4 linked regions of the Rhinolophus ferrumequinum genome follow. The protein of the gene in region 1 purifies or fractionates together with the protein of each later gene. This does not show direct contact. Links are inferred from orthologs where the notes say so. Each region holds a gene or a part of one and is shown on either strand. Other genes may lie near its edges. The genes, in order: PARP1, RPA1, TOP2A and JUN.

Evidence for each region.
Region 2: the proteins of PARP1 (region 1) and RPA1 purify together in Homo sapiens (affinity purification with mass spectrometry; 3 studies listed by BioGRID, with this or other methods). This does not show direct contact. The link is inferred for Rhinolophus ferrumequinum from reciprocal best matches to the Homo sapiens genes PARP1 and RPA1.
Region 3: the proteins of PARP1 (region 1) and TOP2A purify together in Homo sapiens (co-immunoprecipitation; 3 studies listed by BioGRID and IntAct, with this or other methods). This does not show direct contact. The link is inferred for Rhinolophus ferrumequinum from reciprocal best matches to the Homo sapiens genes PARP1 and TOP2A.
Region 4: the proteins of PARP1 (region 1) and JUN purify together in Homo sapiens (co-immunoprecipitation; 3 studies listed by BioGRID and IntAct, with this or other methods). This does not show direct contact. The link is inferred for Rhinolophus ferrumequinum from reciprocal best matches to the Homo sapiens genes PARP1 and JUN.

What each region holds. Positions count from the first base shown.
Region 1 is NC_046310.1:14,339,841-14,347,083, forward strand, and holds the start of PARP1 (poly [ADP-ribose] polymerase 1), read right to left. Parts: upstream 3,011-7,243; 5' UTR 2,809-3,010; coding exon 2,689-2,808; intron 1-2,688. UniProt on the Homo sapiens protein: Poly-ADP-ribosyltransferase that mediates poly-ADP-ribosylation of proteins and plays a key role in DNA repair.
Region 2 is NC_046304.1:16,154,696-16,161,528, forward strand, and holds the start of RPA1 (replication protein A 70 kDa DNA-binding subunit), read right to left. Parts: upstream 3,017-6,833; 5' UTR 2,914-3,016; coding exon 2,881-2,913; intron 1-2,880. Other genes in the region: SMYD4 (SET and MYND domain-containing protein 4), read left to right, coding at 4,350-4,483. UniProt on the Homo sapiens protein: As part of the heterotrimeric replication protein A complex (RPA/RP-A), binds and stabilizes single-stranded DNA intermediates that form during DNA replication or upon DNA stress.
Region 3 is NC_046304.1:36,816,671-36,823,908, reverse strand, and holds the start of TOP2A (DNA topoisomerase 2-alpha), read left to right. Parts: upstream 1-4,223; 5' UTR 4,224-4,343; coding exon 4,344-4,364; intron 4,365-5,229; coding exon 5,230-5,385; intron 5,386-5,601; coding exon 5,602-5,692; intron 5,693-5,970; coding exon 5,971-6,034; intron 6,035-7,238. UniProt on the Homo sapiens protein: Key decatenating enzyme that alters DNA topology by binding to two double-stranded DNA molecules, generating a double-stranded break in one of the strands, passing the intact strand through the broken strand, and religating the broken strand.
Region 4 is NC_046292.1:42,541,711-42,549,617, reverse strand, and holds JUN (transcription factor Jun), read left to right. Parts: upstream 1-4,903; 5' UTR 4,904-5,829; coding exon 5,830-6,834; 3' UTR 6,835-7,422; downstream 7,423-7,907. UniProt on the Homo sapiens protein: Transcription factor that recognizes and binds to the AP-1 consensus motif 5'-TGA[GC]TCA-3'.

The sequences.
Region 1 (7,243 bases):
CCTGCCCCTTCAACCTCGGTCTGGATGCTGTTTCCAACTACCCATGCAGTGCTAGGCACATGAGAGGGGCCATCCAAGAGCATACTCACAGCACAAGCTTGCGGGGGAGGGGCGGGCTGTAAGGGCCCCCGTCTCCCTCAAAGAGGGCAGAACCCTTGGCCAAAGCAAGGCTTGACCCGAGAACTCAGAACTGCAAATGGTATGGCAGGAAGGGAACTAGACCAAGATCACAAGAGGATGGTTTCCACTTGGCAGCTGCGTGGCAGGAGCCAGCGGCAGAATCGTTGTGTACTCCACACACTGAGCAGCTACCCCTCCCCGGGGCCGCAGCCAGCCACTCTTCACTGCCCATCCATCCCAGGGAGAGCACAGAATGACCCTCAGTTACCACACCATGTGTGGCCTCAAAAGTGACCATGCAGTGTGTTTCAAACCCCCCCAGACAGAATACAATGGACCCCACACCCTTTTCCCTGTTCCTCCCCTCAAGGCTGCCCCAGGGCACACCAGCTAAAGTTTCAGGTATTCGATACTATGTGGAGAACAATCCTCCCATACAAATGTAAAACAAGGTTTTTAAATCCAAGTGGTAGAAGAAAAGCTTCTTTCTTTTTGGCCCCCACCAGCTCAGTCTACAAGACCAACTTTACCGCCAGAATTAAAACTCCACTTCCTAATTACAATTACAGAAAACCAAACTTACTTGTCACAATAATTTCCTTCACTGTCAAGTATGCTGAAAGAGGCCCCAGTTAAACTTCATTAGGTTCAGAAGTTGATTCCTCAATGGAGCCACCCCAGACTCCCCCAGACAGAGTTCTCCCTCCTCTGTGTCCCTGCCTCATCACACTGGCTACTTAGGTTTCTGTCCGTCCTCCACAAAACAGGGTCTTCTGTGGCTGCCGGGGGAAGACTATGGATGTCCCTTTCTCAGAAAAACATTTAAAAACACGTGACAAAAGACAGAGGCTCACAAAGAAAACCAATTATATTGAAATAATTTCCAAAACAGTTTCTTAAAAGTTTATAGTGAAACAGTAACTCATGAGCTTGAAAGCATTAAGTAACAAGATCTAATACTCACTCTCATAGCTACTGTAATTTTGAAGCAGTGATGAGCATAAATGGTAAATGATATGTAGAGAAATCCCCCAACCAATGTAAAGTGATATGAAAATATCTGTAATTACCATTGGTGACAAAAATCACAAGTACTACTAAGATGCCTTTGTGGCTTACACTCATAATGGGAGGTAATGACTTTTATCTAGAGGTTAGTGACGATTGAGATGTAAATTTGTTCTCTAAACTCACTAGACCTTCTATTCACATCCCGGGCCCCAGCGAGGCTCAAAGATGCTTCGTGGGAGATGTGGCAATTCAGTTGGCAGGCCTTGTCTGCTATTCCAACCTTGATTTCCTGCCACTTCTGGGAATAGACTCCTAACCAAGCTCCCAAGATGGGCAAACAATGCCTAGGGCACAGCTCCATCAGGTGACATCCACCCCTGGAGAGCAATGTTTACCAGTCATCTTCCCTTTAACCAAACAGGAAGCTCCCTGGGATGGAGTGCCCCTAGTACCCGACATGGAGCCTGGAACCTCCTAGTGTTTATTGAATGAGTAAGTACTATGTGCCAGGTGCCGAAGATAACAAGATGACAGCCCCAATTCCTGCCACATCACGAAATGAGATAACCTTGGCACCCACTCCCCTCCACCCCTTCAATTTTTAAGTACTATTGAAAATCCGGTGAAGGCGCTCCCCTCATTCCTAAAACACATTTCTGCCTCACCATGGGGGGAAAAGTCAAGTTACCTTGACCGTGAACACTAAGGTGGGACAACAGACAGCTTTATGTTGGAGATGGGGAGACAGGGCAGGTGAGAACCAAGACCACCCAAGCAAACAGGAGCCAACTGGAAGCTGGAGGAGTCAGGCACCCCCTTGGCAAGGGCCTACAAACACACCGTCTCATAGAGGACTCCCAGCACCCACGGGCATCTCCCAAGCCTTAGGAAACCCCGGACGGGGATCCCCAATCTGTCAATAAGTCCCGAAGAGGAACCCCCCCCCAACACCAAGCCACTTACTCAAACCCCATAAGCTGCAAATGCATCAAGAGATGCAACTATGAAGCGAGGAAGTTGGGGGAAATGTTATTTTAAACCACAAATCGGGCAGAAAGTGAATGCACTGTACAGATTATGACACAGAATTGCATAGTTTTGCATAACTTTTAAAAATGAGGGTGAGCGACTGTTGAAATGATAGCCCAAAATAGGCGTTTTTTTTAAAAAAAAAAATCCTCCCATGTCAGTGGCCGCCATCAATGCAGAGCAAAAATCTTCCAGAACAAGCTAGGTCAAAATCAGAAGAGCCTCAAAAGGCCACGCACACATTTTTTTCCGCCAGAGACTAACGGTAATAGAAGCGGTTCCTTATTTTTACAAAACAAAAGGCACCACCAGTTCCAGACTGTATTTCCCGGGCTTTTCCTGCAAGATCAGCGAAATCTTCCGGAGGGTCCGCCCCGTGGGCCACACGCTGGACGAGCAGCAGCAGCGCCTACAGGCCTCGCCAAGGGTCCGAGGGACCGGCCCGGCCCGCTGCTCCGGGCAAGCCCTCCCCCACTCCTCCCGGAGACGGAAGCCCCGCCGCGCACAAAGCGGCCCTCCCGCCCGCACCTGCACCATGATGGCCATACGGAGCGAGTCCTTGGGGATGCTCTCGCTGCATTTCTTGCAGGAGGCGCGCCCGCTCTTCGCATACTCGACCCGGTAGAGCTTGTCCGAGGACTCCGCCATCGTACTCCTCGTGCTGCTGCAGCTCCGGGAGCCCGACGCCGCCCCCTGGAGACCCGCTGCCACCGCCTCTCCACCCCGCGCGTGCGTGCGTGCGTGCGTGCGTCCGTCCGTCAGTCTGCTCTCTGCAGGAGCCCGAGCACCCAGAGCCGTCGCCGAACACGCCGCGCCGACCACCCGCCGCTCGCGGATAGATTGCTGATGCCTGGTGGCGGGAACGCCCCCGGCGCACGCGTTTAAGGGGCGGGGCCGCCCGCACGCGCGCCCTCTGCCGACCGCGGCGGGCGGTTCTTGCCCCGCGCCTGCGGCTGCGCGAGCTCAGCTGGCTGCTGCTGCCGGCAGAGCCTGGGCTGGTACCGCCTGTGCACCTATGGGAAGGACCGGACGCCACCTCATTAACCATTTTGTCCCCTGGGAGGCTTACATACTCTCCCAACTAATTCTACCTTCATTCCCTTTCAATGAGCGCGTCACTTTACAGTTGTTGGAAACAACTCAATAATTGTGAAACTCATCACTACTTGAAATTGCAATAGTCAGAAGATCGGTTGCTACTAGATTTTTATTTAGATTTTGTTATTTTTTTGTTATAGAACTATATTATATAACTGCGTCCTTTTTTAATCCTATACATTTTGTTCTATTCATTTAAAACATAATGGGGTGTGCTGTAGAGGACAAGAAAAAACAGGATGAATGAAACTCGTAAGACATGTTAAGCATAGAGAAGAAGAAAGTTAGTAGCTTAAGAGACATGATACTGACGTAGGCAATTATGTTGTGAGACATAGGCAAGAACCCTAAATACGGTAAGTGACCTGTTAGATATGTTGAAGGTAAATACAATAAGGGGAATACAGGATGGAACAAATAAAAGAATTTTGCTTAGAGGATAATCTGATCATTTGACTTCTGGGCCTCTCCTTGGTGGTAATATTATGGTCTGATTCTGGCTCCCATATGCTCCGCCCCAAAACAGCAGATAAAACCCGTGTGTGTTCTGCAAGCTGATTGGTGAGCTACATCTGTGGCCAGGCATACTTCTCCTTGTGTCTCTCTGACAGGTGACTGTGAGTTGGCTTCAGTACTCTGTTGAGTAGCCTCGAGCATCCTCAGCTCTGGTCTTTGTAACCCTACCATCAGTGGGGCTGGCTGATGCAGCAGAGAGAAAACTTATGAACATTGCATAACTTGGTGTTTCCATGGTGTGGTCCTTCCACCTTGCCTCTGTCCTGTCCTATGTGTGTTTTCTGCCCCACGTTATTCCCCTCGCCGCAGGAGGTTTAAATCAGGTGTTTCGAACTGATGTAATAATCCGTGTAATTCAGGCATCTTAATCTGGTCTGGGAGGCTTTCTGTTTTGTGACTTCTGACACAGTTTGCCTGATACTGTATCTGGAAGCTACCATTGCATTAGAGGACCATAGACTTCATTGGACAGACAAGGGGGTCCTGAGCACACACACCAAGGTTAAGGATTCCTGCCCTAGACCCCTAAGGAGAGCGAGCGATACCCAACTGCCTTCTCAATATTTTTATTTGGATGTCTTATATTCTTCCCCAATGATGTCCAAAACCTCCTCCACTGTTTCTCGTCTCAGGGAATGGTTCATGGTTCTCTGCATTGCTTAGGTCAAACTCCTGGAATCAACTTGACTCCTTTTCTCTTCTGTCCAACATCCAATTCATCTCTGAATCCTGACTTCCATAGTGTCTTACCACCTTCCCGTCAGCACGGCTGTCAATGCCACCATCATCTTTTGTGGTTCTGAGACAGTATCCTGTGGCCTCCTTCCATGCCAGCCCTCCTAGTCTTCCCTCTCCATGTGAGGTTGCTTTAGATCTCAACCTGCGTTACCATTTTGAAAACCCTCCAAAGGCTTCTCATCACACTTACAATAAAATCCAAAGTTCTCCCTGTGGCTGAATGGGAGCTCTGGCCACTTCTTTGACTTCACGGTCATCCTCTCCCCAAGGCTCCCGCTGTTCCAGCAACACTGGCTTCTTGCCTGTCCCTCAAACACCCCAAACCCAGTCCCACCTCAGAGCCTTTGTATTTACTTTTCTGGAACAGTCTTCACCTAGCAAGCACATGGCTCACTTCCTCTCTTCATTTAGTTTCTGCTCACATAGTATTAGTGTGACCACCCCAGCTAATATGCTTAGTGTGTGCACGCCACCTCTACTTGCTCTGTTTTATATTATTCTTTATACTTATTACTCCTCATAGCATATTTTATACATACGTATATGTTTATTGTCAGACTCCCTCTAGCAGAACTGGGGTTTTTGTCTGTTTTGCTCATTGTAATATCCTCAGAGCCTAGAATATGAGTAGTGCTAAGCCCTCAAAAATACTTCTTTGAATGAATGAATAAATCCCACAGTTGGCACTTCCTCTACACAGCTCAACTCTTTAATAATAATGTTACTTCACACTTAAATAGATTTTCATATTTAACAAAGGGCTTTCATAAATATTTGTTTGCTCCTCATTACAACGCTACTTTTTTTTAAAAAAAAATGATTATAATTACTTAGAAGCATTCAGACTGTCCACATCACAGCTATAATCCTGTCCCCGCCCCAATTACAGAGTGGCATTCAATTAAAAGAACAACAATTATTTCATAGAAGCTGCATGAGAGACAACTGAAGATGAAAAAAATACCATGCCCATATAGAACTAATTTGTACTATGCACCAACAAAAACCTGCTTTGAATTCTCACGCCAGTTTACAATCCACATAGTGTACCGGGCGAGGTTGACAGCTGTTGAGAATACCACCAGGACAGGGTTGTCTAAAGAATTACTTGGTAACAATACTCCTCCCACCCCCCCCAAAAAAAGTTTAAACACAAATCACATACAGCTTTACATTTCACTTTTTTCTTTAAAAGGAATGATTTTGCCTAAGGAGGTTGAATGCTTGACAGATAAGAAAGAAAAAATCAAATATATTATTTAAATTAATTTTATGTTTCTTTTTACTTTTTAAATGTAGCTAATAAAAATTCAAAGTGACGTATGTATCTTGCATTGTATTTCTTTTGGGCAGAGCTGTTTTAGATAAGACAAAAGCATACAGAACAAAAGATGAAAGTTCTACTTCATCATCTACCTCCACTTCCGTCCCTAAGTTGTCATTTATTTTTTATTTTTTCCCAATGTGAGTTTAAGGCTATATACTTTATCCTGAGTTAAGCTTTGGCCATAGTCTTCAGATTTTGTATGTATATTATACTTTGTTTGTTTTTATATTTCACTGGTTATTTCAAGTCCTTCTGTGAATTTCCTGTTCTACCCTTTTGCCCATTTAAAAATATTCCCCACCATATTTACTCTAAGCTTTGTAGGTTTTTGTTTTTTTTAATGTTGTAAACATATCTTACTTTACTTCTCTCTTTGCTCTTAACTTCCAAATGTTCTTTACCATACATTATGTTGCCTGGTTTATCACCAGAGTGAGACTAGAGGAAAAAAATGCGCGTGCGTGATGGAGACTGTGGTGGGCGGTTGAAGTCAGGGGTCTGTGCAGATGAGAGGCAGAGAAGGCTCAGTTTCCATGACTGCCTCCACCACAAATTGCCTTGCCCTCCTTTTCTTGTTTTTCTTTTAAAAAAACACACAATTAAACAGCAGCCCGTTCTTTTCTGATTACATAATACCTGCAGCCTGTGACCACAAAACCAAACCACATTACTTCGAGTATGAGGACGAATGTAAGATGCTGCAGTCTTATTCTGTTAACATGTGACAACTCCAGGAAGCAGGCGGCCCGCGGGCAGGGCTGCGTCCCTGAGGCCTGAAGCAGTGCCTGCCTTAAGTGTGGCTACATGGATGACTAAAGGGCTCCCCCCTCACCTGGAAGACTGTCTCCTAAGCCTTGTGCAAAAGGAAGATGTGCGGTTGGCGCTGAAGGAGCGAGCACCTTGAGTACGAAGCCATCATGGGACCCAGGGTGGAAGACGGAATGACAAGGAGATTCTACTTGTTTAGTTCAAAATGGAGGCCACAGTTGTGCTGGAACCGTACCCCTCTCCCAGCAGTCTGAGGCTTGGCGTCTTTGGGGCAATCGTGGCCATTATGAGTCCAAGGCTAGTGTTCTGGAAAGAGGCACTCTCTGATTGTGAGAGGAAAGTGTGGACAGGGATAGAAGAGGCAGTGAGCAAGCCCATGATGATTCACACTCAGGAAGCCAGGTATACCCAAGACAGGCTTGTCACCTGGATTATACCACAGATAGGGCACGAGGGGCAAGGCCCTACTCCACAACTGAGGACTACACCCTCGTGACATGACCAGAGAGGGCTTCTCTCAAAGCTGCACAGAGCCTAGTCCAAACTTACGGACTCTCGTCAGCCATACGCCGAATCCTGTTTTATAATAACCTGCTCACACAGCTGGCTTTCCCATCTAACCTGGAAATCTTTGAG
Region 2 (6,833 bases), on another chromosome or scaffold:
TATTATAAAGTATCTGGCACATTGGAAATGGTCGAAAACATTACTTCCTTTGCCTTTCTTTATATTACCCAGTTACTTACAATATAAAAGCTGTTCGTTCTATTTATCACAATAGTCCCATGCATTCTCTCTTACTTTGTGTTAGCTCTTGCCCACAATGCCTCTGCTATTTGTGTGTTAGTTGTTTGCCCATTAGGGCCTGTGTCTTTTAAACTAAAATGATATTATTTGCTTTAGCTAATAATCAAAGTTGACAAAGGTCCTCTACAATCTGTCACCACAAACATAGGCAAAACTTTTCTTTGTCATTTATGAATAAAACCGAAGTAATACTTTATCTGACACTAGAAATATGTTTCTAAAATCTTGAATATAGCAAAAACCTCATAATCATTCATTTTTTTTAAAGTGAAGAGCTGTTCCTAATTTTTTTCCTACTCCCATAATTTGTCTGAAAAGCAGCTATAAAGTAAATGATGACAATTTGCAATTACTTCCCAGGTCTAATTATTCCTAATTTATTAAAATATCCATTCATTCCGCCAACTGTTCTTCCCCTTCCTGTTTCCCCCAAGCTCCCTTTCTTCCCCATTCATCTCTGTCCCTTTCTTTTCACCGCCTCATATGCAACTAGCAAACGTTTATTGGGCACCTAAAACTTGCCAGCACTGCCCCAGGTATTCAAGGTACCATGCTGAGCAAAAAAAAAAAAAAAAAACAAACAGACATCATTTCAGACCTAAAAAAAATGTAGTCCAGTGGTGGAGACAGAAAGTACCTGATATTAATCAAATCAACAACAAATAAATGTAAGCTTACATCTGTGATTATCAATAGGTAATTAACATGCTGAGCAGTCGCTATGTATCTGGCATGGGCTAAGCACTTTAAATGTAAGAACTCCCTTAATCCTCCCACTATCCAATAGGTATTAGATATTATTACCCTATTTTACAGAAGAGGAAAGGCCAAGTTTAACATCTTGCCCAAAGTCACAGAGTTGATAAGTGAACTCAGAGAAATTTGGGTCTCAAAATAACTGGATTTCACCTAGCATGGGAAGTTAACAACTGAACTGAGATGTGAAGACTGTTAGCCTATGAGAGTGAAAAACCACCTGGGCAGTAGGCAGAGGGAAAAGAATGATCAAAACCCTGTGGAAGGCAAGGGTATAGAATAAACCAGGAATTTAAAGAGAAAAAGGACTGGAAAGGAAGAGAGAACAAGTTGAGAATATGCTATAATGGAAATAGCAGGAGGAGGGTATGCTGAGTGGCAGTGAGTGATCCAGGCAAAAAATGATGGTGCCAGCGAGGATGGAGGGAAGTAGATGGAGTTAAGAGATACATGTGCAAGTAAACATGTATCCTGAACATTCAGGGTGACACAGGAAGAATGAGTCCTCAATTGCTCAATTTCTGGCTAGCATAACTTAATGGATAATAGTGCAATTCACCCAGATAGAGAATACCAAGCGGCCCAGATTCAGAAAGATAGTTCTGATTTGGGACATGTTGAAATTTAAATGACTTTGAGGTATCAGGTAGGATAAATTAGAGTTTTGTCTTTCAGAGTAAAAGGTGACTCCGGACAAAGAAACTTGTGAGCAAGTAACATAGAGATGGTAATGAGGTTGTCTTGGAAGAGAGCCTTGAGTCAACAAACATTTACAAAGAGAAACCTGTAAATAGGATGTGAAAACCAGCCAAGCTGCGCCACAGAAGCGCAAAGAAGAGATTGTCACCAGAAGGAAGCAATGCTCAAGACTCAAATGCTGCTGAGCACTCTGATAAATTGAAAATTGAAGCATCTGTTGGATTTAGCCACTTGGAGGCACTGTGAATTTCAGCCCTAGTTATTTCTACAGTGATCATGGGGGTGACTGATTAAAGTGGGTTAATGGGTTGATGGAGGGCGGTTGTGCAACTCCAGTGGCTCTCAGAAGTCGTCCTTTCAGCTGTGCCCGGACATTCCAAGTCCTGCTGCCACTGTGGACAAGGCTCAGGTTCATTTCTCCAGAATCAACTAAGAAATGCTCTTTTCTGTGCCCCTGCTTAGTTCTTTCTAATTGTTTTTAAAATGGCAGATATGGTTTTGGTTTCATTGGAGCGATTTCTCATTGCCTCAGAGAGCGTGGCAAACCCGTATGTCCTCTATGTACTGCAGTCAGCCACACCCCACAACTCTGCAGCACCTATAAGAAAGTTCTGAAACAACCAGAATTCTAAACAGCCATGATTTAGCTAAAAGAGCAATATCCCTTTGCATTTTAGCAGTTTTGCAAGAAGTGTGGCTCTTTAGAATACCCCATCTAGTGTTTATGTTTGGTGAGCGTTGGCTTTCATGAATTCAACATGTATTGAGTGTCTACTCTGTGCCAAGCACTGGGGATACAGAAAGCAAGACAGGTCTCTGACCTCAATGCGCTGACAGCCTAGTGCAGGAGACAGACAAGCAGACCAGGGCACGGGGTCAGATGGACTACCTGGGCTTGAAGGCTCAAACACTTTCTCTGTGAAATCGGAAATGAAATAGCTGAAAACAGACAATTCTGGAGAAATTTGGCTGTGGGTGGGGGGGGAGGGAAGGAGACAGAGAATAGTCTCAGGAGATGGGGGGAGTCAACAGTTTATTTTGTTTCGTGTTCTTAAGCAGGAAAACGTAAGCATGTTTAAAAGACGATGGGAAAAATCCTTTCAAGAAAGGGTGATGATTCTAGGGAGTCCACCCGGCGGTTCCCCCCCACCCATTCCCGCTATCTCCTCCTTTCCTTTTCTCTTCCCTCTCGCCTCCAGCTCTTCTTCCCCTTCTCCAATCCGCACAGCCCCAGAGCCCACAACCACTCCGGCCCTCCGGCCCAGCTCGCAGGCATCTCCTCACCGCAATGGCCCCTTCGCTCAGGTGGCCCACCATGGCTCCGCCGCAACAACTCCCGCGCTTCGGCTGCGCTGCTGCCCAGGCTTCACCCGCGGAGTACGGCGCGCTCTAAGGCAATTGGCCCGAGGAGCTGAGTACGCCACTTCCGCCTCTTGTCGTTTACACGGCACAGGGGCGGGTCTAGGGGCTGAGCAGCCACCGCATTGGCCGAGGCGCGGCGGACGACCACGTGACCCTCCCAAGCCTAACTTCAGGCCTAGTCGCCGGATGGCGGGATCTGAGGGCACAGAGCCAGGCTACGGGACGCGCCAAGGTTGACGCGAGCGCCGCTAAATGAAGCGAGTGGAACAGTTCCGGGATCTTGGCGAGCGGGCTCTCGGAAACATACCCGGCTCGACTGGTAGCCCAGAGGAGAGTTAGAGCTGCTCCCTGATAACCCTGCTGCTAAATGTAGTCAAAGCAGTGACTTGATCCTGAGCTTAGCACACTTTCTGAAGGTAAATAAAACCTGGTTCCTGCCCTCAGAAAAGAACATAGGCTGTCGCGGGAGCTTCCGCTGTAAGTAGCCCTAACTCAAGGTAGACATGGTATGGGCCCCAGGAGAGAGACAAAGTATGCTGGAATCACACTGATGTAAAATCAGAAAAGGCTTCCCGGAGGAGGTGTCATTTGAACTGAGTCTTGACGGATGTGTGGAAATTTGCTTGGTGGACTCCAAGTGAGGGCAGGGATGAACCTGGAAAAATGAATAGCCTATGCAAAAACTGGAGTGATGAATAGCCTGGCAAGCTGGGGATGGCATTGAATAGCTCAGGATAGTAGTTACCTACAGAGGAGGTGAGACTTGAACATTAGTAAGCCAAGGGTCAAATAATGAAGGGTTTCTATGGGGCTTTCCTAAATGCTAGGAGGAGCATTGATGAAGTTAAGGCAGAGTACTGACATCTGTCTGAATGCAGAAGGATTAAATTGGGGTGGGGGGGGACTGAGGGTATGGAGATTAGTTACGACAGGCTGGAAAGAATGCCAGACAAGACATGGTGAAGGCTTGAATTAAAAGAATGACCTGGGGATTGAAAAAAAAACTGAACTCTGTAAGAGATATAAATATTTGTTAATAGTTGCTGGGGAGAGTGAGAAAGAAGAATCTGGGAGGTCTCTTAAGGTTTCTGACTTGAGCAACTAGGGTAGATGGAGTTCTAAGAGAACAAGGATGGTGGCTGTCAATTCACCTAGCGTGGTGCCTGGAACAAAGTAGGTTTTCAATAAATAATCTCTGAATGAAAGAATGTTGAGTGAATTGGAGAAAATATAGATCCTTCTTCAGCATGTAAACAACTATAGAAAAAGAGCACAAGAATTGATTATGTTGCTTCATGCTTGCTGGAATGAAATCTGGATTTTCAAAAATTGTGCATTTGTAGAAATCTAAATTCCTTACTTTCTTATTCATTTTGTAGACTTAAAGTAGCATGGATCTGCCCGTAGATGAGTGGAAATCATACCTATTTCAGAAGTGGGCTTTGCTCCCAAAGTCCATTCAGGTCACAATTTCTACAGCAGAGACTTTGAGCGATGTCTTTCTTCACACCTCTTCGCTTCTTCAGTAAGTTAATGAAAGCTTTAACCAGGGAAATTTTAATCTGGAAAATGTTCCCTTTTGTCATTTGCTCTCAAGTTATATCTCATTTTGATGGAAAGATTTTAAGTTTATTTTGTTTTTTGCATAAAGCATTTTGTCATTTTAATTTTTTTGTGTGGTCAAGTAACCCTATTTTATTTATTTTATTTATTTTTATTTATTTTTCATGAGTTTCAGATGTACAAAACAACATGATTAGACATTTATACCCCTCACAAAGTGATAACCCCAACAAGTCTACTACCCCTCTGACATCATACATAGCCATTGCAATACCATTGACTGTATTCCCTATGCTGTACTTTACATTCTGTGACTATATATATATACATTTAATTATAGTTGACATTCAGTATTACTCTACATCAGCTTCAGGTGTACAGTGCAGTGATCAGGCATCTACACAATCTATGAAGTGATCCCCCTGATAATTCCAGTACCCATCTGACACCCTACATAATCTTTACATTACTGATTATATTCTCCGTACTGTAGTTCACATCCCCGTGACTACTTTGTGACTACCGGTTTGTACTTTCTAATCCCTTCACCTTCTCCCTCCTACCCCCTCCCATCTAGTAGCAACCATCAGTTTTTTTTCTCTGTATCTCTGAGTCTACTTCTGTTTTGTTTGCTCGTGTATTCTGTTCTTTAGATTCCACATATGATTGAGATCATATGATATTTGTCTTTCTCAGTCTGACTTATTTCATTTAGACTAATATCCTCTTGGTCCATCCATGTTGTTGAAAATGGAAAGATTTTGTTCTTTTTTATGGTCGAGTAGTACTCCATTGTATAAATGTACCACAATTTCTCTATCTAGTCATCTACTGATGGTCATTTGGGTTGTTTCCATATCTTGGCTATTGTGAATAGCACTGCAGTAAACATAGGGGTGCACATATATTTTTTGAATTAGTGTTTTGAATTTCTTTGGATAAATACCCAGGAGTGGAACTGTGGGGTCATAAAGTAGTTCTATTTTTAATTTTTTGAGGAACCTCCATACTGTTTTCCATAATGGCTGCACCAATTTGCAATCGCACTAACAGTGCACAGAGTTCCATTATTCTCCACATCCTCGCCAGCACTTGTTGTTTGTTAATTTATTGATGATAGCTTTTCAGATAGGAGTGAGGTGGTATCTCATTGTGGTTTTTATTTGCATTTCTCTGATGATTAGTTATGTTGAACATCTTTTCATGTGTCTATTGGCCATCTGTATGTCCTCTATGAAGAAATGTTTCTTCATGTCCTTTGCCCATTTTTCAATTGGATTGTTTGGTTTTTTGGTGTTGAATTGTATGAGTTTTTTAAATAAATTTTGGATATTAACCCCTTATCAGGTGTATCATTGGCAAATATCTTCCCCCATTCAATAGGATGTCTTTTTGTTTTGTTAATGGTTTCCTTTGCTGGGAAAAAACTTTTTAGTTTGATGTAGTCCCATTTGTTTATTTTTTCTTTGGTTTCTTTGCCCGAGGAGATATATCAGTAAAATATTACTAAAGGTAATGTCTGACTTCCTATACTTTCTTCTAACAGTTTTATGGTTTGGGGTCTTACATTTAAGTGTTTAATCCATTTTGAGTTTATTCTTGTATATGGCAGAAGAAGGTGGTCCAGTTTATTTTTTTTGCATATATCTGTCCAGTTATCCCAGCACCATTTATTAAATAGACTGTCTTTACCCCAATGTAAATTCTTGCTTTCTTTGTCATAGAGTAAATGACCATATAGGCATGGATTTATTTCTGGGCTCTCTCTTCTGTTCTATTGATCTATGTGTCTGTTTTTATGCCAATACCATGCTGTTTTGATTTCTATAGCCTTGTAGTATACTTTGATATAGGTATCATGATACTTCCCGCTTTGTTCTTATTTCTCAGGATTGCCATGGCTATTCGGGGTCTTTTATAGTTTCATATAAATTTTAGGTTTATTTGTTCTAGTTCTGTGAAAAATTTCATTCGTATTTTGATAGGGATTGTGTTGAATCTATATATTGTTTTGAGTAATATGGACATTTTAACTATATTAATTGTTCCTATCCATGAGCATGGTATATATTTCCATTTATTTGTATCTTCTTTAATGTCTCTCTTTAATGTCTTATAATTTTCTGAGTATAGGTCTTTTACTTCCTTGGTTAAATTTATTCCTAAATATTTTTTTGATGCAATTGTAAATGGGATTGTTTTCTTAATTTCTCTTATAATTCGTTATTGGTGTATAAAAATGCAACCGATTTCTGAATATTAATTTTGTATCCTACTTTACTAAATTTGTTTATCAGTTCTAATAGTTTTTT
Region 3 (7,238 bases), on another chromosome or scaffold:
TGATTTCAAAAGCCCAGGCAGGCTTTCTCCTCTAGCAGGTTCTAGCTCATCTCGTGAGAACAGGACGAACTACCTGCTCCAAATGACAGTCTTCTCTGTTCTCTGTAAATTCCCACTTTTCTGCTCATGTAGCTTCTTTTCTTTCATGATCAACAGGGAGGAAAGAGAAACATGTAGGCAGCACTTAGCTGCAGGCCTTTCAGGAATACCATCTTTGTCTTTAATTACAAACAGAAGGGCATAGCTTTTTATTTCCTTTTGGTGAATAACTTGCTCCTAACTCCACTCCACCACTTACCAATCTTCCTGGTCTCTGACATCAACTGTGAGGGGGCCCTGGAAGTACCAGCAGGGGGGACAACTATCAGATTAGTATCAGACAGAAGACACCCCCGAGATGTCCTTTTTTATTCCTCTTCCTACGTGGAGAATTCTAACCCAGAGTTCTTCAGTGATGACCTTCTCTGTTCCAGAGTGCCGTAAAACGTACCAGGAATGAGTATTCAGGTAGCCTGCCCATCAAGACACACAATCCAGTCCAGCTCTGCCTCCCCTTCTCGTGTGAGAAGCCAAGAGAGCAGAGGCCCAGCCCTGGCCTCTGTTGTCAGAGAGGAAGTCCTCCCTATCCCACTCCCTTGACCACTTCCACTCTGTGGGTTATAGAGGAAGGATGTGAGGAGCTGGAGAATCTGGGGGTGAGGGAGAAGGGAGGGGTTCATGGCTGTGTTTGTCCAGGTTTTGCTGACCAAGCCTCCAGGAGGCAAAGATGCCAAGTCCAAATGCCAGTTCCACCTGCTGCCATTAGTAGCCACAGGTGCTAGAGATAGGTAACCAGGAGGTCTTGGGACCCTGGCAGAGATTTAAGGTTACATCAGCCATGCTACTAGGCCAGGAGGCAAGGGGTAGGGGTGTCACATAGGGAGTGGAAAGAATCAGAGACCATGCTTCACCTCCCTGACACCATGCCCCAGCCCCAGTGGGCTTGAGCTCGTTCCTATGCAGCTCTGGGCTGGGCACTGGCAGGGAAGGGGAAGCCAAGATAACGGCATACCCTGATTTCAACCAACTCAATTCACAGGGGTTTTTCTAAATATAAGTAATGGATTGCCATTTTTACACAGAACAGAATTCTTACACGTAAAAAGATGAAAGTGGAGCTGCTCTGGGTTGGAGAATCTGGGCCCATCCCACCCCCTCTCTAGACTCTGTGGAAGGCGTTTTGCAACCCACTCCTCTAGCTGGGCTACCTAGACTTCAGTGTACAGGTGGGGAAACTGAGACCTAGAGACAGGAGGAGATTTACCCAAGGTCATGAGACTAGTGACAGCAGAACTGGGCGAGGACTTCCCACCACAATACTCTGTCCCTCAATTTGGCGCAAAGGTTGAGATTTCCTACTGAGTCCTCACCACTGGGTTTACTTAAACTGCGAGTTCCCCCAGTATGTTGAGACTCTATCTCTATCTACAAAATTCACATTCTCACACAAACTTGTATAGACAGATAGGCCTTCAGTGAGGTGAGGAAAAGGGTCGGGGGTGAAAAGGGTATAGGGAGTATATGAAAACAAACACTTAGAAAGTCACATGTTGGCAAAGGGTCATGAACACCGAGAATTATCAGGGCCCACAATTACAGAAGAAAATCTTTTAAATTTTGTTTAAGCTAACTTTTTACATTATAAAAATAAGACATGTCTACAATTTTTAAATGATCAAATAGGATAGAAAGGAAAATATGAAAAGTGTTCCTCCCCCTCCAGTTATTTACGATTCCTTCCAGATGTTTTCAACGCACACATAAACATTTACCTAAATGGGATTATGTTCTAATTCTTTCCTTCACTTTTTAAAAACTTAATATGTCTTAGTGATATTTCCATATCAGTACACCTAGATCAACTTCCATTAGATAGCTGCCAGTTCTTTTCTAATAAAAACAATATTGCAATAAATAATCTTGTACATGTATCTTTGCACAATTGCAGACACCTGGAATTCCCTCTTTATGGACAATACATCCCAGGCCCACCTGTCCTGGACTTTTCAGTGGACCCCCACAAGTCTTGCAGGGCCCCTGTGAGAGGCTCTAGGAAGGAGGCAGGCTGACAGAAATAGCTTATGTCCAGAAGAGAAGTGGGGGTTCTTTCATGATCAAGAGAAGAAATTTCTGTGCTAGAGGGCTGGAGAAGGATTGTCCGAGGTGCTTCCATATGTCATTTAGCCCTTTGTACTTTTGATAAAGGATAATGATATGGGGAAACTGAGGCTCAGAGCGATTTCTGACTCATGCATGTGTGACTCCAAAGTCCTTTAGACTCCACAGTTCTGCTTCCAGGTTTTTGGAACAGGATCAGGCTAAACTGCAGGGCAGATTTAAAGGTGGGTCCCAGAAAATAGGGCTAGAGCTGCTTATTAAATTCCTGGGTACTGCAGGCTAGGATGAGCAACAGGGTGGAGGCAAGAGGGACAGAGGCTGGACTGCTATCCTAGGGGAAGCATGGCCACCCACCCCTACCACTTTGGAGCTCTGTGTTCCAGGAGGTAGAAGGCAGCATGGCTGGTCTCTGTCAGGGTCCTCCTCTGTCCTGGGGAAGCTGTAGGCAGTGACATGAGAAGACCTGTTCAACCTCTGGGTGGGCAGAAGCTACAGGATGGGCTTCCCCACAACTGCTCTGAGACCCTGGTGGTCCTGTGCATGGACGTTGCCTTTCTGATCAACACATATAGTGAGCAGAGTGAAGCTGAGAACACTTGGGAACTACGGGAGGCCAGGAGACCAGAGGAAGGGACCAGCGCCATGCCGAAGCAGCCTTCCTTCGGCTTTCCCAATCACTCTAGCCCAGTGGGCTACTTCCATCCCGGACTTCACGTCCTACCACACCCCCTCCGCATTGGCCCTCCCTGGAGAGCTCTGCCAACAGGCTGGGCATCAAATATGCCTGGGTGATTTAACAATTGGTTGGCCCTCTGGTTCTTTTAGAAGAAAAAAAATTAAATCCACAAATTGTCATGCCAGCCTAAGGAAAATTCCTGCTTCCTGATTCAGATACTGTTAGCCTACTATCCTAAACATGTATCTCGCGTAATCTTCACACAACGCTGAGGTAATACTATTATTTTTATTTCCCTTTTTCAGCAGAAGAAATGAAAGCGACTGAGAAGCTGCCTCCCTCAAGATGACACAACTGTCAAATTGTCCAGCCAGGACTGAAACTCAGGGAAGGAGCTGGGTCAGATGGAATCAGTAGCCATGCAAATTGTGCACTCCTTAATTTTTCTAGCATCTTGTAAGGGCAACAACATTGTTTTGGTCATTTTAACATTGTGAATTGATGAGGAAAAAAGAAAGCCACTCAAGAAAAACTTCAATCTGGCATTTCCTCATCAAACCTGAACAGCTGTTTTGGACTGCAGAATTCAGGGAACTTAACAGGGAGCAAAAGTCACGAGGGTATCCTACTGGCAGTCTGAACCCCAAAAAAACTCAGTACTAGAATGGGCCCCTAAGCCATCCTCAGCTCCTGAGGCGGTAACTATAAATTACCCCAGTGGCAGCCTAAAGCCCCTCTCCTGGGGGACTCGAAGGCTATTTCGCGCGGCCTCTCTACATTTTTCTATTATATGAAAACGAAAACCCACAACTGTAGCACTTTCGTTTCTTTGAAAATAAATTCTTGGAGGGGAGGGGAGAGGAGATTGAGGCAGACGTCAGAACCTGTGTTCGCTTAATCAAATCGCCGCCAGGCTTCCTGTACACAAAGCCAGCCAGCACTGTTTCTTCAGGAAAATGGAGCTAGGACTCTCGTTCTTCTCGCTAAAAAACCTTGGGACACAGGATCGTTTTTAGCTTTCAGGGATCTGAAATAAATTAGCAGTTCCTGGGGAATGAAACCTTTTCTTTCCTCTTTTTATGCCAGTCTGCACCTCAGAAATCCCCCTCCTACCTCCACCGCGCGGTCCACCGAGTTTTCTGCACTGCGAAGACAAACGAGCCCTCCTCATTGGCCAGATTCCCTGTCGATCCCTCCGCTACGACCCAAAGTGGTGTCGTTTGAAAACCCTCTAGTCCCGTCTCCCTTGCCTAATTGGTTCATTCGAACAGGCGTTCCTTGGAGAACATAAAAGACCAGCTACGATTGGTTCTTCAGGACGGAACCGGTGAGAGCGAATCAGGGATTGGTTTACCTCGTTTCGGCGGGCTAGAGGGAAGTTCAAATTGGACTGGAGTTGCTCTCCCAACCGACCAGCGTCTGTGGAGAAGCGGCTTGTCCTGTGATAATCTCGTGGGTCCCGCCGGTTTAGTCTCTTGCAGGGTTCTCGAGCCTTTTCACGACCGTCACCATGGAGGTGTCACCACTGCAGGTACAACTCGCGAAATGGGCGAGTCGTGGAGCCTTAGCGCGGCCCGATATCTCTGGTTGCTAGTGAGGGAGTGAAGCTCCTGGGCTTCGCGGTCGTCCGGCCGCGGCGGCCTGGGAGCCTGTATTCCGTGTGGACCCGGGTCTCCTGGGTTCGGCGTGATCGTGACGAGGGTGAAACTCTTTATGGTGGTAATATTGAAGTGTTATGGACTAAATTGGCTTCTAGGGTGTTGTGTTTTGTTTTACTGTTTCTAGGGACAGGAAGCAACTGGTCCTATCGTAGATCTGTACTATAATGGTCCACTTGTGACTAAACAACGCCTCCTGATGCTTTCCTCTGCTATCCTCCTGCTGAATATGGAATTGAATGTCCTTGACCTTGGAAGGTGCAGAGCAAGGCACAGTGTTCCCAATGAGCCGGCAGGCCCTAGTTGCTCAAAATACGTCCTTCTGTGTTCACAACGTTAACGTGGCCAAGGGATTGAATCGATAGCCTCCCAAACTGCTGCTGCTGAACTAGAATCTACTATGTGCCTGGGACACAGTAGGCACATAGTAGATGGAGTAGATGAATAAGTGGGTGTATTTTATTGATGACATCTAAAGCCCTTAAGGAAAATATTTCCATACCAGATACATTTAGTGAGATGAGATGTATGTCCATTTAAAATGTAACCTGGGTACCTGGCTGCAGTTAACTTAAATTGCCACGTTTGTACAAAACGATGTAAACTCCACCAATACTCATTAAAGATGGCGATTTGTTATAGTGTTTAAGCATATCATAAAGGTAGACGTTTTGTTTATAGTTTCTGATAAACCTATGATTAAAGTTCCCTTTGCTTCAAATGTTTTTAAATTGCTAGCCTGTAAACGAAAATATGCAAATGAACAAAACAAAGAAAAATGAAGATGCTAAGAAAAGACTATCTATTGAAAGAATCTATCAAAAGAAAACGCAATTGGAACATATTCTGCTCCGTCCGGACACCTATATTGGCTCTGTGGAATTAGTGACCCAGGTAAAACAAGCTAATTAAATGCAGTTACTAAGTAGTTAAAATGTGTGTTTTTCCAGGTTAATTTTCTATACTTCATGTACTTTGAGTGTCACTGGCACTGGCCTAGTCTATTTTATATGAATATATATATTCCAGAAAACTTATTCCAGTAATCATGATGATAAAACAGAATAAATATAGGGTAAAAATAACTGCATCTCTTTGCCTTATTTCTAGCAAATGTGGGTTTATGATGAAGATATTGGCATGAATTTCAGGGAAGTCACTTTTGTTCCTGGTTTGTACAAAATCTTTGATGAAATTCTAGGTAAGTAAATTCTTTCACATAAAGATCTTCTGGTCAAATCCTTCATAAGAAGTATATAATTCCTAGCAAACCCTATGTAGCCAGAGCTGTCATTTCAAACAATAGTTGGCAAAGGTGAGACAGTGAAGTTGAATTCTTAACTAGAAACAGTACTGTGAATAAAAATTGCTGAATTAACACCTCATTAATGCTACTGCGTTTGAGATTTTTGCTTTCTAAGAGTTAAAGATTTTTTTTATAAATACTTCAATTTCTTACAAATGTGTATTTTCTTTCAGTCAATGCTGCAGACAATAAACAAAGGGATCCAAAAATGTCTTGTATTAGAGTCACAATTGACCCGTAAGTCTCTTGCTTAGTCTTTTGTTTGTTATAGTTCATTGTTCTGTTAGTTGCATTTACTTAGATTTATAGTGAAGTTGGCTTTCTTAAAATGAAAGTTTGCAAAAACACAGAAAGGCAGAATGCTAAAATGAACAATCTATGATACCTACCACCTAGATCCAGCAGTTATCAACACTTTGCCATATTTGCTTCAGCTATATTTTTTCTGAAGCATTTGAAAATAAATTACAGACATTATGGCACTTCATCCCTAAATAGTTCAGTAAGCATCTCCAACAATTGCTCAAAGTATTCTGCAATCTAGAGCTTTTTTTCATATGATGCTATTCAAATAGTAAACCAGAAGGTGGTGATAGAGATCTAACATTTCTGGTTATAAATGATCCCTTTGTGGGTGGTCAGGATGCTTGTTTCACCTTTTTATTAGCCTAATCAAAGTCCAAATAAATTTTTAGTATTTTATTGGCAAGCAAAGAAGTTTACAAATGATGTTTTTCCCTTTCACATTTGTTTTGCAATGAGCTTTGTTGGGTGGAAAAGGCTAAGAGAGCTAGGACAGTACAGAAGATCCTCTCAAAAGCAGTGTAATACTGTTTCCAAATTATGTTCTTTTCTTTCCATTGAGCATAAATCATTTCCCTTTGTTTATTTTAACATTTTAAAATTTCATGTTTTTTTCAACATTATCAGTGTCTGCCCAGGTGTTGGAAAAGGTTTCATTTTTTTTTTTCCTCTTGGCTCCTATTTTAGGAGTGTCAGGAACTAAGCATGGTGGGAAAGGTAGTTCATGCTGAATTTCAGAGGGTATATATGAAAAAGAATCATAAAGAAATTGAGACTTTGCTGGGTAGAGAAATCTTGGTTGTAGGCCCTTGCTTTTCATCACTTTGAATATTTCATGCCAATCCCTACTGGCCTGCAAAGTTTCTGTTGAGAAATCAACTTCGTCTATGGGAGCCCCCTTGTAGGTAACTAACTGCTTTTCCCTTGCTGGTTTGAAAATTCTCTTTGTCTTTAACCTTTGGCATCTTAATATGATGTGTCTTAGTGTTGGCCTCTGGGTTCATCTTGTTTGGGACGCTGTGCTTTCTAGGCTCGTAAGTCTTTCCTTCACCAGGTTAGGGAAGTTTTCCATCATTTTTTCAAACAGGTTTTCAATTCCTTGCTCTCCCTTCTGCAACAACATGGATGAACTAGAGGG
Region 4 (7,907 bases), on another chromosome or scaffold:
CACTTCCAGGCACATAGTAGGATTGCACTTTCTGGCATTCTGTAAGAAAGACATGGTCACGTGACTAGTTTATGACCAATAATATGTAAACACCAGTAATAAGACTCATTTCAGAGAGGAAGCTTTTAAAATCAGTGTGACTGCACTGTGCTTTCTTCCCCATTGAAGTGTTGGGAATGACTGTGGAAGCATATATCAAGATGAAACCTTCTGCAGACTCAGTTTCTGAGTGAGTACATGAAGCAAAGCCCCTTTGACTTTGAACATGTACTACAAACAAGAAATAAAGATTTTTGTTAAGCCACTAAGATTTTAGGATTGTTTGTTAATGGTGGCAAACCTAGTCTATCCTGACTGATGTAAGAATTGGCACCTAGATGTGGGGTAATGTAATGGCAACAGTAAAAGTAAACATCCATTTAGAGGGCAGTAACTAAGAGCACTGTTATCAGAAGCTAAAAGGACAGTGATCTATTTGGTGAATATATCACCTGTGACAATTTAGAAGGCGTGTCATGAACCTAATCAACTTAAAGTGAGAGACTAAAACAAAATGTTAGTAGAACGTGTTGGTGGCTGTTGGATGCATTTGGAAACTTATTATAAAAAAAAAAAGAGATGAGCTCAGAGAAGACTTGGCCGGTTTGCCAACAAGAATGAAAGAGAGTAGGGACAATCTAGAAATTCAGAGATTTGTAGGGTTAGAAGAGGCTAAGTTGTTTCTCAGTCTCAACTAGTAAAATATATAACTAAAAAATGTTTTCAGCAAGAAAAGGCAAGTTAAAATTAGCCTTGAAGTATGGATCAAGTCAAGGTATGGCCTCAAGCTTATTTATTGTTCAAACCTCTTGACAAATAAAGGTGTTACCGAGCTATGTTTTCAATTAAACAAAATGGCTCTAGAAAAGAAAGGAAAAGTGTGACTCTCACACCAAAGCTCAATAAACCCAAAGTACTCAAAACCAAGCTGGGGAGCAGGGGAATGAATATGAGAGATTGAGAGATTGAGAGAGACAGAGAGAGAGAAAGAGAGAGAGAGAGAGAGGTATTAGCAGGCAGGAGAACGAGAAAGCTAAGAAATGTGGCAAACCACAGGACTATGTCTAGAAAAGAATTGGCTCTGGCTATTGGTACATGGAATGGCTAGAATCAAACAGATAAGAAGCCTACATTTATGTGAGAGTTGTACTGCCAAAAGAACATCAGCCTGGATTAAAGGAGACTGTATTTGAGACTTAACATGACTCTGTACCCTCCCCCCGCCAATTTTTGAAAGCTTATTTAGAAATATATTTCCCAATGCCTGCTTTAGATATAGAAGAGGAAGACTCTCTCAGAGGGCAAAGCCAGGGGTCATGGGAAAGAATGGACGGGGCAGCTACACTCGGGGAGCAGAATCAGGGCCTAACTGGGGTGATGGGTAGGGGGTCCTCAGTGGATTAGTGTCTACTGTGGTCTCCCATCCCTCCACTTCCACGTGATGTATGCACGGCAGTGTATCCTGCCTCAGTCCCACCATTACATATTGAAGGTGTGCAGGGTAGACACCTTGCTTTTAGTTGATAAGTCCTATCTGGAGCTGATATAATGTCTACTACGCATCACTCAGAACCTGGAAAGGAAGCTTGATAGACTGTGACTAGATGGGTCTTTAGCGTTGTCTCCCTTGAGGAAAGGATGAGGGAACTCTGCCTGTGAGAGGACACTAAGCCAAACAGTTGGGGAACCGAAAGGGAGACTGCTCGAGTCATTAGTGTGGTTCCCCAAATCTTCCTAGCTCTCTTGGTTCAAGATACTTGGTAGGATTACAGAGATTTCAAGTTAGGCATGGCCACGGGACTTGCTTTGGCTAATGATACAGAAGTACTGTGTGTCACTTCCAGGTGGATGCTCTGAGAGCCAGTCAATGATTTCCCGCCGTCTCTCCCCGCAGCCAAGGTAATAGTAATACGCAGGTGTCGAGATGAAGCCCTCTTCAACTGGAGTCCTTGAGTGACCACCGTGAACAGAACTCCCCCATAGACCCACAGTGGGCATGTAGCATCAGCAAGAAATAAACTTCCGTGGGATAAGACACTGAGACATTAGGGTCGTGTGTGAGGGCAGCATAGCCCAGCCTTTCCTAACTGGTACAGGGAGAGAGAGGTGAGGCCTGAGAGCAGGAGCTAGACTGTGAAAAGCTCCTTCTCCCAGGCAAAGGTGTCTAAACTCTCTCCTGGTTGTAAGGGGACGGCAGTGAAGGCTTCCAAGCAGGGGCGTTAACTTTTAAACAGATCTGTTATTTTTTGGATGAAATATGCTACTTCTCAACATAAGGAGAAAATCAGCCTACTAAACCACATAAGGCAGAGAGGAACACACAGAACCCTTAGGCAAAGATATATATATTTATACAAAGTCCTAATCTTGAATTTTCTAAATACAGGAGCTCTGAAAGGAAGCTCTGAAAGGAGTTACAGCGGCGCAGGCAAGGCAATTTCTTCTGTCCCACCATCGAAGTGCCATTTCCGCTGCAGACAATATGTTACAAGAAAATCTCCCAGAGCAGAGAAGATACGAGGGAATGTAACACAGACCTGAGGTCAATTTCCAGCTGCCTGTGTGACCTGAGCAAGATACTTAACCTCTCTGGGCCTAGTCCCTCATATGTTAAATCTGGTTAATAATAAACATAGCTCTAGATAGTTGTGGGGAGAAACAGCATATTTAAATTGCTCTGGCAAATGCCTGGCTGATAATAGGCATTTAATACATGAAATTTATTTTTATTACTCTCATAAAAATTAAGAACACCAGCTCCTTGATTACAGACGAAAATGATTTAGGGTAACAGTATAGAGAATACTCCCTCCCTGAGGAAAGTAACTGGATCTTGTCATCACTGTATTCTAACCCCACCCCTACCCCCCACCCCAGCTCAGTGCCTGCCTCACAGTAGCCACTCAGTTTTCCTCTGCTGCATGACTGAATGAGAGGTGAGTGCCTGGAGTAAAGAAAAGTTGTCAAGATTTCCCTGCCACTAGCTACTGTTGGGCTGTTGAATTTTAACCCTCAAAGCCAAAAAGACCATCAGACTCTGGGCTCTAAACGCGTAAGCTGAATTCCCCGAAGTTCTGAAGTTGAGAAGCCCGAATTAGAACCTAGGGACCTAAACTGCTGCAGGTCCAACTTCAAGCCTCAGTCACGGGCAAAAGGCCCAGGAAAGGGCTGCCTTCGACCCTTTCCTCCCTCACTCCCCTTCCTTCGATGCTCCTCACAGGAGTTTTTACACCTGTTCCTGTCAAGTCACACTCTTACATCCTGGCATTCCAGGGAGGCTCTGGGAAACTCGGGGAAGGAGGCTGTTTGGTGACTACTTCCTAGCCCTGAAGGTGATGATACTACCCTAACTCTGCCCAGTGAGGTGGTTTTCACCGCCCCGCCCCCCAGCCTCCCGCACCCCCGCCGCAGATAAAGGAACTGAAAAGCTCATAGAAGTTCGGTGACTTGCTCACTTCACACCATGGCAGCGTTGGCCACGACAGAACCCACGATTCCCGACTTCGGTGTTCTTTCCACCACACACTTTTGTCCCTAAGGGGGATGGGGGTGGGGGGAGATAACAAGAGCCACCAAAAAAAAAAAAAAAAAAAAAAAAAAAAAGGAACCACTTACATGTGTCTAGCGCTTCCTAGAGGCTACACAGGATATAGGCCCAGCTCCCGGGCCAGAGCCGTGAGATTTTAAATCCTGCTTCTATCCGACTCCTCGCTGCGTGACTTTTGGCGAGTGTCCTCTCGGACTTGTTTCCCCGGAAGCAAATCACGGCGGGAGGAGTGTGAATGTCTGTGCGTGTGTGTGTATTCGTGTGATGTGTGGTGTGCGAGTTCTTGTACGGGGGCAGAGAGTAGACGATCGCCGGGGTTCCCCGAGTTTCGGATTCCCTAAACGCTTGTTCTCAACTGGACTGAGTTGCCCCCTAATTGCACCCCTTATTAAAAAAAAAATACAAAAACCCTCCCCTCCGAGACGAAGCTATGACCTCGCACCCTTTCTCCCATCGTCGGGAGGGTGAAGTGGGGGTGCCCTGAGGAATTAGCTGATCACCAGTCTCGAGCAATGCAAATCACTCGGCTTCTAGGCGCAGCCAGACAGCCCGGCGGACGGTCGCTGGTGAACTTGACCAGGAGACAAACTTCCGAGCGTACTCAACGTGGGGGGGCTGACTCTCGGAGACTGCCCCTAAACTTAAGCCCACTTTCACTTGCCCCCACGGGGGACTTAACAGAGCCACCTTAAGGGCGGTGCTCCCGCCCCCCGGAAGTGCGGGGGAGGGAAAAACCCGAGCTGTAGACCTCCCGGCCCCGCGAGGCGGCGAAACGCCGGTGGATGCTATCCAGCACCCACGAAGTGGGGAAATACCACCCGTCTCGCACCCTCGGCCCCAGACACCCGGCCAGGTTCCCCAGCCCTCCGAGTCCCCGCGTCTTCTGCATTCCGCCCCGAGACCCGAACTTGTGCCCGCTTCCATCAGAAGATGCGAGCGCCCGCGTCGGCCGGGCTCGCAGTGGCCACCGTCACTAGACAGTCAAGCCCCAAGACGTCAGCCCACAATGCACCGGGCGGGCCGGGAAAGACGCGCCGGGGAGGGAGAAGAGAGGGGCGCGAGGCGCGCGGGAGGGGGCGGGGGAGGAGGAGAAAGAAGGGCCCAACTGTAGGAGGGCAACAGAGCATTACCTCATCCCGTGAGCCTCCGCGGGTCCGGAGAAGAATCTTCTAGGGTGGGGTCTCCATGGCGACGGGCGGGCCCGCCCCCTTGAGAGCGACGCAAGCCAATGGGAAGGCCTTGGGGTGACATCATGGGCTATTTTTAGGGGTTGACTGGTAGCAGATAAGTGTTGAGCTCGGGCTGGATAAGGGCTCAGAGTTGCACTGAGTGTGGCTGTATCAGCGAGGCGGGAGTGGAGGCGCGCGGACTCAGGGAGACAGGACAGCAGTAGAGTCCGAACTGCAAATCTGATTTTCTTTTCCATTTTCTCACCAAGTGCCCAGAGCTAGCGCCTGTGGTTCCCGGGCTGGTGTTTTGGGAGAGCGTCCGAAGAGCCCCCTCTCCAGCCGACCCAAGAGGAGAACCCCACTGCCCGGGCGCCGCTGACAGCGCGGAGGGCGGCGACTGTCCCCTGGAGAAGTCTGGCGAGCCGCTGTAGCGGCAAAGAACTTTCCTGGCCCCGAGGACAAGGGACAAGTAGCCCCTGAGTCCCGGACCGAACTTTTGCAAAGCTTTCCTCCGCTCCAAGCTGCCGCGGCGGCGGTAAAGAAAAAGCGACGGAGAGAGGAGAGCGAGGAGGGACGTGCGCTCGCACCGGTTGCTGAACTTGGGCGAGCGCGAGCCTCGGCCGCCGGGCGCCCCCTCCCCCTCGCAGCGGAGGAGGGGACAGTCGTAGGAGTCCGGGCGGCGGAGACCCGCCGCTGACCGGCCACTGCGGGGTCCGCGCTGAGTGCCGCCGCCAGGAGAGCGGCTGTCGCCGGGAAGCGAGTGAGTCCGCGGGCTCCGAGGAGCCGCTGCGCAGAGGAGCGCTCAGTGAGTGACCGCGACTTTTTAAAGCCGGCAGCGCGCGAGAGCCGACAAGTAAGAGTGCGGGCGGCGTCTTAACCCTGCGTTCCCTGGAGCGCGCTGGTGAGGAGGGCGCAAGGGGGAGGACAGCTAGCGGGTGCGCGCGCTATTAGATAAACTTTCCTTGCTGAAGGCCGGGCAGGCGCGGGTGTCCCCCGCTTGCCAGCGAGCTGTTGCGGCCCCGAAACTTCTGCGCGCAGCCCAAACTAACCCCACGTGAAGTGACGGACTGTTCTATGACTGCAAAGATGGAAACGACCTTCTATGACGATGCCCTCAACGCCTCGTTCCTCCAGTCCGAGAGCGGCGCCTACGGTTACAGTAACCCCAAGATCCTCAAACAGAGCATGACCCTGAACCTGGCCGACCCGGTGGGCAGCCTGAAGCCGCACCTCCGGGCCAAGAACTCGGACCTCCTCACCTCGCCGGACGTGGGGCTGCTCAAACTGGCGTCGCCGGAGCTGGAGCGCCTGATAATCCAGTCCAGCAATGGGCACATCACCACCACGCCGACCCCCACCCAGTTCCTGTGCCCCAAGAACGTGACGGACGAGCAGGAGGGCTTCGCGGAGGGCTTCGTGCGCGCCCTGGCCGAACTGCACAGCCAGAACACACTGCCCAGCGTCACGTCCGCGGCGCAGCCTGTCAGCGGGGCGGGCATGGTGGCTCCCGCGGTGGCGTCCGTGGCGGGCGGCAGCGGCAGCAGCGGCTTCAGCGCCAGCCTCCATAACGAGCCGCCGGTCTACGCCAACCTCAGCAACTTCAACCCGGGCGCGCTGAGTAGCGGCGGCGGGGCGCCCTCCTACGGCGCGGCCGGCCTGGCCTTTCCCGCGCAGCCCCAGCAGCAGCAGCAGCCACCACAGCCGCCGCACCACCTGCCCCAGCAGATCCCCGTGCAGCACCCGCGGCTGCAGGCCCTGAAGGAGGAGCCGCAGACGGTGCCCGAGATGCCCGGGGAAACGCCTCCCCTGTCACCCATCGACATGGAGTCCCAGGAGCGAATCAAGGCGGAGAGAAAGCGCATGAGGAACCGCATCGCTGCCTCCAAGTGCCGGAAAAGGAAGCTGGAGAGGATCGCCCGGCTGGAGGAAAAAGTGAAAACCTTGAAAGCGCAGAACTCAGAGCTGGCGTCCACGGCCAATATGCTCAGGGAACAGGTGGCACAGCTTAAACAGAAAGTCATGAACCACGTTAACAGTGGGTGCCAACTCATGCTAACACAGCAGTTGCAAACGTTTTGAGGAGAGACTGTCGGGGGCTGAGGGGCAACGGAGAAAAAAAAAATGAGAGAGAGACAGACTTGAGAACTTGACAAGTTGTGAGAGAGAGAAAAAAGAAGTGTCGGAGGACTAAAGCCAAGGGTATCCAAGTTGGACTGGGTTGCGTCCTGACGGCGCCCCCAGTGTGCACGAGTGGGAAGGACTTGGCGCGCCCTCCCTTGGCGTGTAGCCAGGGAACGGCCGCCTGCGGGCTGCCCCGCTTTATGGACGGGCTGTCCCAGCGCAAACAGAACGTTAGACTTTACTTTAACATTGACCAAGAACTGCATGGACCTAACATTCGATCTCATTCAGTATTACAAGGGGGGAGGGGGAGGGGTTACAAACTGCAATAGAGACTGTAGATTGCTTCTGTAGTACTCCTTAAGAATACAAAGGGGGGAGGGGTTAGGGGAGGGGTGGCGGGAGGGAGGTTTGTGAGAGCGAGGCTGAGCCGACAGATGAACTTTCTGGCCTGCCTTCCTTAACTGTGTATGTACATATATATTTTTTTTTAATTTGATGAAAGCTGATTATTGTCAATAAACAGCTTCATGCCTTTGTAAGTTATTTCATGTTTGTTTGTTTGGGTGTCCTGCCCAGTGTTATTTGTAAATAAGAGATTTGGAGCACTCTGAGTTTACCATTTGTAATAAAGTATATAATTTTTTTATGTTTTGTTTCTGAAAATTCCAGAAAGGATATTTAAGAAAATAAAATATTGAAAAAGTACCCCTCCCCCAACCTCTTTTCTGCATTATCTATAGATTACCTATCTGGATGGAGTGGAAAGAGTTAAGAGTGTCCATTGAAATCACTCTCAGGGCTGCTTACTATCAAGCAGTAAAAACTATTCTCTACTGGGCATGAGAAATAACTGGAGCTGATGCTCTCACCAAGTTATACACTTCCCTCCCTCATTATCTATATAGAGTTGCTTACAAAGGGTAGTGTGGACCTTGAGGAGGCTGAGGGAAGGAGGGTTGTGGTGAAGAGGGATTGCCCACTGGGAAGTCCAACACTTTAAAGTTTGGATTAGAGCAAGTGGCATGTGC